2 linked regions of the Mus musculus genome follow. The protein of the gene in region 1 purifies or fractionates together with the protein of each later gene. This does not show direct contact. Links are inferred from orthologs where the notes say so. Each region holds a gene or a part of one and is shown on either strand. Other genes may lie near its edges.

Region 1 (3,815 bases):
AAAAGACAAAATACCTCATTTCCCGCTTCTTAAAAGAAATTTCTGGTGCTGATGAGTGTCTTAAGTCCTTAGCTTGGCTGGCTGCTTGTGGTGTGCTTTCAGTAACTTAGTGTTTTGTCCTCTAGGGAGGAAGAGGGTGAAGAGGAGGAATTTGGAGACTTCCAGCTTGTTTCAAAGGAGAATGGATTTGCTAGTGACGAGGTGAGTGCAGAGAGAGTACAACCAAGCTCCACTCGGTGCTCCCCTGCCCTCGTTCTTGAGAACTGAGCTTAGCGTCTTACCAGAAGCAGTGTCCTGTGCTGAGGCGTGGGGACAGAACTTTATAAACCCTCTTGTTGCCTTCTGGTTTTGTCTCATGGCGCTGGAGCTCAAACCTGGGACCATGTGCCCGAAATCCTAGTGCTTTAGGAGGCTGAGGTAGGTTTGTGAGTTCAAGACCAGCCTGTGCTGCACAGCTAGACTCTGTCTACAAAGTAAACAGTTTAGGAACAGGGAAAAGAGCACAGGACTCTGTTCCGTGCTTAAGGCGTGGCAGCACTCCCTTACTGTGATCCCTGTTGTCGGTGTGTAACTGAGTTTGCTGCTCTGCCGTGGCAGGATGAACACAGTGACTCCAATGATGAAGAGCTGGCCCTGGACCTGGAGGATGATGAAGAAGAGCTCCTGAAGCAGTCTGAGAAGATGAAGCGCCAAATGTAGGTGTTCTGTCCAGCTTCTAGACAGTTCTCCCAAGTTGAGGTATAGCCTGCTACCTTTTTAAATAAACTTGCTGGTTTGGTTTCTGCTTTTCGAGATTAACATTTAAACCAGTCCTTCATGGCCTTGAGGCAAATGAGGTGACTGAGCAGGTAAAAGTGCTTCCTGTGCAACCCTGACTGCCAGGAAGGCAGTCTAGATCCCATGATGAAAGCAGAAAACCAATTTCCAGAGGTTTTCCTCTGATCTCCACACTTGTGCCATGGCACACATATGCACATGAATAAGTTTTTTAAAACCCTTCTGTGGCCACTTCTTGTTTTGTTTTTTGGGTTTTTTTTGAGACAGGGTTTCTCTGTGTAGCTCTGGCTGTCCTGAAACTCACTTTGTAGACCAGGCTGGCCTCGAACTCAGAAATCCGCCTGCCTCTTCCTCCCGAGTGCTGCGATTAAAGGCGTGCGCCACCACGCCTGGCTTCTGTGGCTACTTCTTGCGTACTCAAAGATGGTTCTATTTTCCTTAAGTGACATCAATACCAAATATCTCTCAATTCCTCCCAGACCCAATGACATTTCAGTAGCGTTGCTTCCTACTCTCATCGTGTCCTGGAATAGTCTCTCTCTAATCAGGTGTGCTCTGGCTGTTTGTTAGATGGGTATTAGTCATGTGACCCAAGATCAGGAGAACTGAGTCAGTCCCTATGCCCTAAGACTATGCTGATAACTGACCTTGGCAGGAACTGCTCCTATGAAGTCTGTCATTCCTGGTTTTCTTGATTCTCGTCTCAGACAAATGGCCTGCTTAATTTTTTTATATTTAAAATATTTGTCACTCATGAGAGTAAAACTTTTAGAGTATTCAAAAGAATGTATGAGCTGGGGATATAGGTAGAGGACTTGCCTGTATGAATGAGGCCCTGAGCTTAATCTCCACCACATACTACTAAAAACATAGGTGGGTGGGTGGGTGGGTGGGTGGGTGGTGGGTAAGCTAATGGAGGGATGGACAGATGGACAGGGATTGGCAGTGAAGCTCAATAGTAAAGCACTGCATAGTATGTGTAAGGTTCTGGTTTATCCCCAGCACCACAAACGTGAAGGGAAGGATGGGGGGGAGGAGGGAGGAAAGCAGGGAGGGAACTGTTGATATCAATTGGCCAGAATGTGTGTGAAAGCATTGGTAGTACATTTCCTCATAACATCTGGGATTTAAACAATTTCTTTGTGTGTTTCACTTTGCATCTTTACTTTCCCTCATAGCATATCCATAGTATCATAATCTTAAGCAGTTTCACAAAGGTAATTTGATAAAGATCCAGTAGCTTATAGCATGTGCATGACTTTTCCATTCATGTCAGGACGTCATATTGATCTCTATTAGATTTATATTGTTGCTTTTGGCCTGTCATTTCATCCTCTTAAGATCCAGCTGGGGTTCTCATTTGTCACCTGTCACTTTAACTTTTTTGTGTAACTTTAGAATATAACCAGGTCTTTTAACCCCCAGAGGTAGTATTTGTTAAACTTATTTAACTGCAGAGATTTTTCAAATCAGTCCTTAAAGAATGGCAACCAGCTAGGCAGTGGTGGCGCACGCCTTTAATCCCAGCACTTGGGAGGCAGAGGCAGGGGGTTTCTGAGTTCGAGGCTAGCCTGGTCTACAGAGTGAGTTCCAAGACAGCTAGGGCTACAGAGAAACCCTGTCTTGAAAAACCAAAAAAAAAAAAAAAAAAAAAAAAAAAGAATGGCAACCAAAGATGAACTGTCAGCAACATTCCTGAGAAGCCTGGAGACTAATGGCCGTTGAAGGAACTCTCCAGGAAGCCTAGCATTTAGAGGGAAAATACAATATATCTCTGACTAAGAGGTCATCTTTCAAGCTAGGCACAGTGGCCGTGCATTTAATCCCAGCACCGATCTACACAGTGAACTCCAGGACAGCCAGGGTTACATAAGGAGAACTTGTCTCAAAAAGAAAAATAACTCATCTATCAGACCCACCAAATTTCTGCTTCTTGTGACCATAGAGAAGAGGACTTTGAAGGCTGCCTTCTTAAAGAGAATGAAGTTAGAAAAATTAATAGGCCGGCGGGTGGTGCAGACCTGTGACTACCTACTTGAATGCTCAGCTAGGACAATGATACGTCAAGGTCACCCTGGCCTACAGAGTTTTAGCTATCCCAGGCAACTTACCAAGAAGTATCTCAAAATGTAAGAGTAGAGCTGAAGTTTAGAGGGCTTTAGAGAACAGCCTCACTTGTGCAAGGCTATACACTCAGTCTCCAGCACCTCACCAGAAAAGGAACTAGAAAAGACAAACTGTAATAGTGTCGACAACAGGGAGTTCTGGTCTTGCTGTATCAGACTGTTCTCTAAGCACTGATGAGCTTAAATACAAAACAAATAAGTGTGAACCTTCTAGCAGGTACTCCTAAATATGTAGTAAAAATTACGAGTTTTCTGGGACCAGGTGATGGCTTTAGGTGAAGCTGCTAGCTGTACAAGCCTGATGACCTGAGTCCGATCCCCAGAACCCACCTATTGGAAGGACGCCAGCAAGCCAGCTGGGTGTGTCGGTGTGCATTTATAATTCCCCACAACATAAGAGATAGGAGAATGGAGGACTGGAGAGACGGCTCAGTAGTTGAGAGTACTGGTACTGTACTTCCAGAGGACCCAGTTTCAGTTCTTAGCACCCACATGGTGGCCCTCAACCATCTGTCACCCCAGTAACAATGGGGTCTGACATCCCCTTTTATCTTCTGTACACACTGCAAGCATGTGGTGCACAGGCAGAACACTCATAAAATAATCAAGTAATTTTAAATGTTTTGGTTTTGGCTGGTTGGTTTGGGGTTTGATTGATTGATTGATTTTTTTTTTAATTTCTGAAAGCTTTTATTAATTTATTCCTCCCAAAAGAACAACTGCAAAGGAGTTGAAAAGTCAAGAATTTATTGTCTTCATAACAAAATCGGCTTAGAACTGGATCACCTGGCCCTTTCTCTTCTTGTCGCCTCCCAGTTCAAAATGCTTGCATCTCTTAATAGCCAGCATCCTCTTAGATCTGCAGTTGGGCTCAACACACTCCAGTCTCAGCACAATCTTCTTTGTAGTTTT
Region 2 (4,436 bases), on another chromosome or scaffold:
CATCCATCTAACCTACTGCTTCTCTCTGGAACATAAACAACGTACATGAAGTATGCAACACCCGAACGGTATCCTTCCAACTCAGCCACCAATGAACATGAGCTTCTATCATCCATGTTACTTCCTTTAAAGCTTTTATGCCTAACACATCAAACACTCAGTGCTGGTTATGTAAATGAACTTAGACAGGGACTTACTGTGACACTCAGGATAAAAATCTAATAATCACTTCTTGTTTTTAACAAACAAACAAATGGCACGGAGTCAACACTATATACAGGAGTGATGAGACATCACTGCAGCCGGATGGACTTGACTTCCAACCTCTGAGCCTCACTTTCCTGAGTACCACCTCTCTAAGTTTTAGTTCTACCGGTAAATATAATAACTACGTACCTATGTTCCATGGGGAATGCAGGAATTAAATAAGTATACGTTGATAGAAAAAAGGCGCACTACATATTACCTATTGTCGTTATCACAACGTGATGAACACAACGTGACATACAGCCTAAGACATGATTTCTACTAAATAAAAGGTCAGGGAACTTTGGCTGAGCTTAATGTCCTTCGTTTTCTCCTCCCTCGCGCCACTCCCCCAAGAAATCTCCAGTTAACTCCGAGTTCATGGAAACTTGTTGCGTGTCGAGCACTTATGAGAACTATCGACATAAAGTAGCAGGTTCCTTTTTACTCTCGGGGCTGCTGTCCCGCCGAAAGGCATTCGAGTCATGACTCGGACAAGCTAAGAAGAAAAGAGGTGGCTCGTAATTATGGGTCCCACTTGGGACAGAAGCTCTCGGGACAGTGTCGGGGCCCGACGCAGGCCCGGGTGACTCGGCACCTCCGCCACCAGGTCCAGGCCCTCCCTGCCAGCTCCAGGGGCAACTCTGGCATCATCCGGTTCGCGATCCCCGGTCAACTCACCATGACTGACAGCGTTTGGTGATGCCGCTTCTTTTCCTGAACCTTACAATAAAAACCCACAGCTCCCTCTTTGCAGTCCAGGCCACTGCTCTGAAACCCAGAAACCGCGAGAGGCTCGCCGGAAGTGACGGAACACCGCAGGGGATGGGGTACGGAGGCCTGAAGTCAGCGGCGGAAAAACAGAAAGTCATGGGAAGGCCTGAGGTTTGAATATTACTTAAAGTAAACATTAAAACACTTGATAATTGATTTCACAGGATAGCGACTGTTTATAATGTTTAGATAGTACTCTCTTCCAAACAACTTGATAGGAGCCGTTCTCCTTACGGACTACAATACCCAGAATGCAGCTAGAGTTTCCGGCGTTGATCCCGGCCATCATGGATTCGGGCGGAAGTAATCTATAGCTCACTCTAATTCGACGAACCGTGTATTGGAAACTTATTGGAAACACATTCAAATAATGTGTGACTGAATTTACTTTATGTCTAAGAGTATATTGTTTTCTAAGTATGCCAGGGTCAGATAATAGACCTTCCTTCCCGAAGTAAAGATGTCTGCCAAACATAGGTGGTTTTGGGTGACTGGACGTTAGCGTCAACACCGGCAACAAGGTTCGCAGCCTGAGGAAAGATGTTTCATTTTTTGAGGGACGGGCGGGTCTTATCCAGCTGCGAATAGCAGAGCATTATTGGCTGTCCCCAGTAGGAACCAATCAGAAAGGAGGAAAGGCTAAGAATTATTGGCTGCTGGCGTGGACCAATCAGAAGAGCTGTGATTTGGCGGGAGTCTTGACGACCTCCGGGGCTGTCCGTGTCTCAGCGCCAGTTCTAGGTATCCGCCGCTGTGGCTATGTTCGTGACCGATTTCCGCAAGGAGTTCTACGAGACGGTCCACAACCAGGTGACTCCCATTCCACGATCCTGATCCAAACCTTATCTGGGGGCTGGGGAGAAGAGGGCGAGTGTCCGTGGATGGGCCGGGAGGTCAGAGAGTTGCCACAGAGTTTAGCGTCCCTGTGTTCAACTCATCTGTCCACGTTTGCTTCTACAGAGGGTCCTTCTCTTTGTGGCCTCGGACGTGGATGCCTTGTGTGCTTGCAAGATCCTCCAGGTGAGCTTTGAATACCTTAGGAAGGTAGGACAGGAGGGAGAGGTGACAGATCAGGGTTGGCCCCAGCAGGGGGTAGGTCACAGAAGGGGAGGGACCAGAAGGAGCAGGCAGGAGGTGAGGAACCCAAAATATCCTCTCTGACCTATACTGGAGCTAGAGAGAAGTATAGTGCAAACAGTGAGACAAGTACGTAGTGTTTTATACAGTAACCCAAGTGAAAATGGTTTCACTTCTGAAATCTTTGAATTTGTAAATGACCTCTCAAAGATGGAATTTGAGAGAGGAGATGTGACAGTGGGGAGTGGTATAATAGGGAGTGCAGGAAATACAGGAGCCCCGAGTCTATTAGAGAAGATTGTTAGTTTGGGCTCTGACCATAGTGTGGTTTGTTTTTTTGTTTTTGTTTTTTCAAGACAGGGTTTCTCTGTGTAGCCCTGGCTGTCCTGGAACTCACTTTATAGACCAGGCTGGCCTCGAACTCAAATCCATCTCCCTCTGCCTTCCGAGTGCTGGGATTAAAGGCGTGCGTGCGCCACCACACCCGGCTCATAGTGTGGTTTTTACAATGTGCTGGGGTTAGGAATTTTTCAGAACCCCTGTAATTAAAATTAGGGTATTTTTTTTCTCTTAATGTTTTACTTTGGCACACTGTACAGATTCAGATTGAATTCTTGCTCACAGCCTTGCCACGTAGCTTCTCCTATTGACCTTTTACCAAACAGCATATCACATAGATCTTTGTCTCAACTCAACTAGTCTGCTTCTGGTGATTGCAGGTAAGTTATCTTTAATGAGGGTTTCTGACCACATGCTCTCTCTCCAGGCCCTGTTTCAGTGTGACCACGTCCAGTATACGCTGGTTCCGGTTTCTGGGTGGCAAGAACTTGAAACTGCATATCTTGAACATAAAGAGCAGGTATGAACTAATGAATTGGAGAATAATTAGGCCACTCTACTCAGTGGCAGGTTCTTAATACTTAGCATTTGTCCAGTTCTGAAGTAGGAGAAGGGTGTTTTTGAAGTATCAGTTTTATTAGGCTTAAAGTTATGGTGGCGGAATCAACATTTGCCAAGGAACCACCAATTTAAGGTAGGTTTGAACTACATCTAGCAAGACTGAGGCCAGCCTGGGCTACACGACAAGATCCTGTCTCAAAAATAAAAACAGTTTAGTTGTGGGCAGCACCTACTCTGACCTCACTTGTTGTTTCCATTTATTTATTTATTTTGTATCCCATATCAGCCTCCTTCCTCCTAGTTACCCCCCCCCACAGTACCTCCTCCTATTCCCTTTTCTGAGAAGGAGAACCACCCCCCCTTACAGGGTGTTACCCCCCCCACCCCCACCCTCCCAGCTCATCAAGTCACTGCAGGACCTCTCCCACTGAGGCCAGACAAAACAGCCCAGTTAGGGGAATGGAATCCACATAAAGGCAACAGAGTCAGAGCAGCCCCCTCTTGAGTTGTTGGGGATCCACGTGAAGATGAAGCTGCACTTGCTACATATGTGTGCAGGGGGAGTGGGGGGCAGCAGGCTAGATCCAGCTCATGCTTGCTCTTGGGGAGGGGGTTCAGTCCTAACCTCACTTATTTCATTAGGATACACTACTGCTCTATGTTATCTCTAGAAAATGCATTCCAGTTATCAAACACGTTTTCACTTTGGAATTAAACGGTAGAACCAAGACTCCTTACCTCTGCCTGGGACCAGATGAGAATGGGTTATTGAAGGCCCTATAGGGAATGGGTAGGGCATGTCAAAATGCATTTGGAGTCCCTGGCTGCTTCTAGGATGACTTGGAAGAGATTCATTTATAATTTGAAGTACTTATATCAGTCGAGTTTTTTACCTCCAGTATTTTGAGACAAGATCTTATTTGCTAGCCGAGGACAATCCTCCTTCCTTGGCCTTCAAAGTGTTGTATTACAGGTGTGAGCCCATAGGCAGGCAATTTGGTGTTACTAAGGAAAGGTTTTACCTATAGTGATTGTTTGATAAAGGATCTAATATTGAGGAGGCCACGTGAGGCTGCCCAAGATTTACTGCAAGCCTAACCCACACAGTGCTGGTGATGTGGTAAGCTGTAGGGGACATTGCAGCAACATTTTGGCATTGAGCAACAGCCCGCGAGACTGGTATGTGTGTGTGTGAAGTCCTGCTCCTGTTCTTCATTAGCTATTTGTGTACAAGTCTTGAGTTTGCAGAGCCTCGGCGTGCTCTTCAGGAAGCAAGAAGAGCCCCAGAACCTATTTTACAGTGTCATCATGGAAAGGCTGTAACCAAGCCAGCTGTGAGCAGTTTTCAAGCCACTTAGCATTCCTCCTGGGCCTTGCCATAATGTGCTCAATGGAGGAGCACAGGGACTGGCAGTGCTGGGGAGGAGCGGCCTCCTAGG

Evidence for each region.
Region 2: the proteins of Clspn (region 1) and Cdc45 purify together in Homo sapiens (affinity purification with western blotting; 4 studies listed by BioGRID and IntAct, with this or other methods). This does not show direct contact. The link is inferred for Mus musculus from reciprocal best matches to the Homo sapiens genes CLSPN and CDC45.

The regions. Positions count from the first base shown.
Region 1 is NC_000070.6:126,580,835-126,584,649, forward strand, and holds part of Clspn (claspin), read left to right. Parts: intron 1-125; coding exon 126-201; intron 202-597; coding exon 598-695; intron 696-3,674; exon of another isoform or gene 3,675-3,815.
Region 2 is NC_000082.6:18,808,909-18,813,344, reverse strand, and holds the start of Cdc45 (cell division control protein 45 homolog), read left to right. Parts: upstream 1-1,372; 5' UTR 1,373-1,779; coding exon 1,780-1,830; intron 1,831-1,980; coding exon 1,981-2,040; intron 2,041-2,863; coding exon 2,864-2,956; intron 2,957-4,436. Other genes in the region: Ufd1 (ubiquitin recognition factor in ER-associated degradation protein 1), read right to left, coding at 928-930. UniProt on the Homo sapiens protein: Required for initiation of chromosomal DNA replication. Core component of CDC45-MCM-GINS (CMG) helicase, the molecular machine that unwinds template DNA during replication, and around which the replisome is built.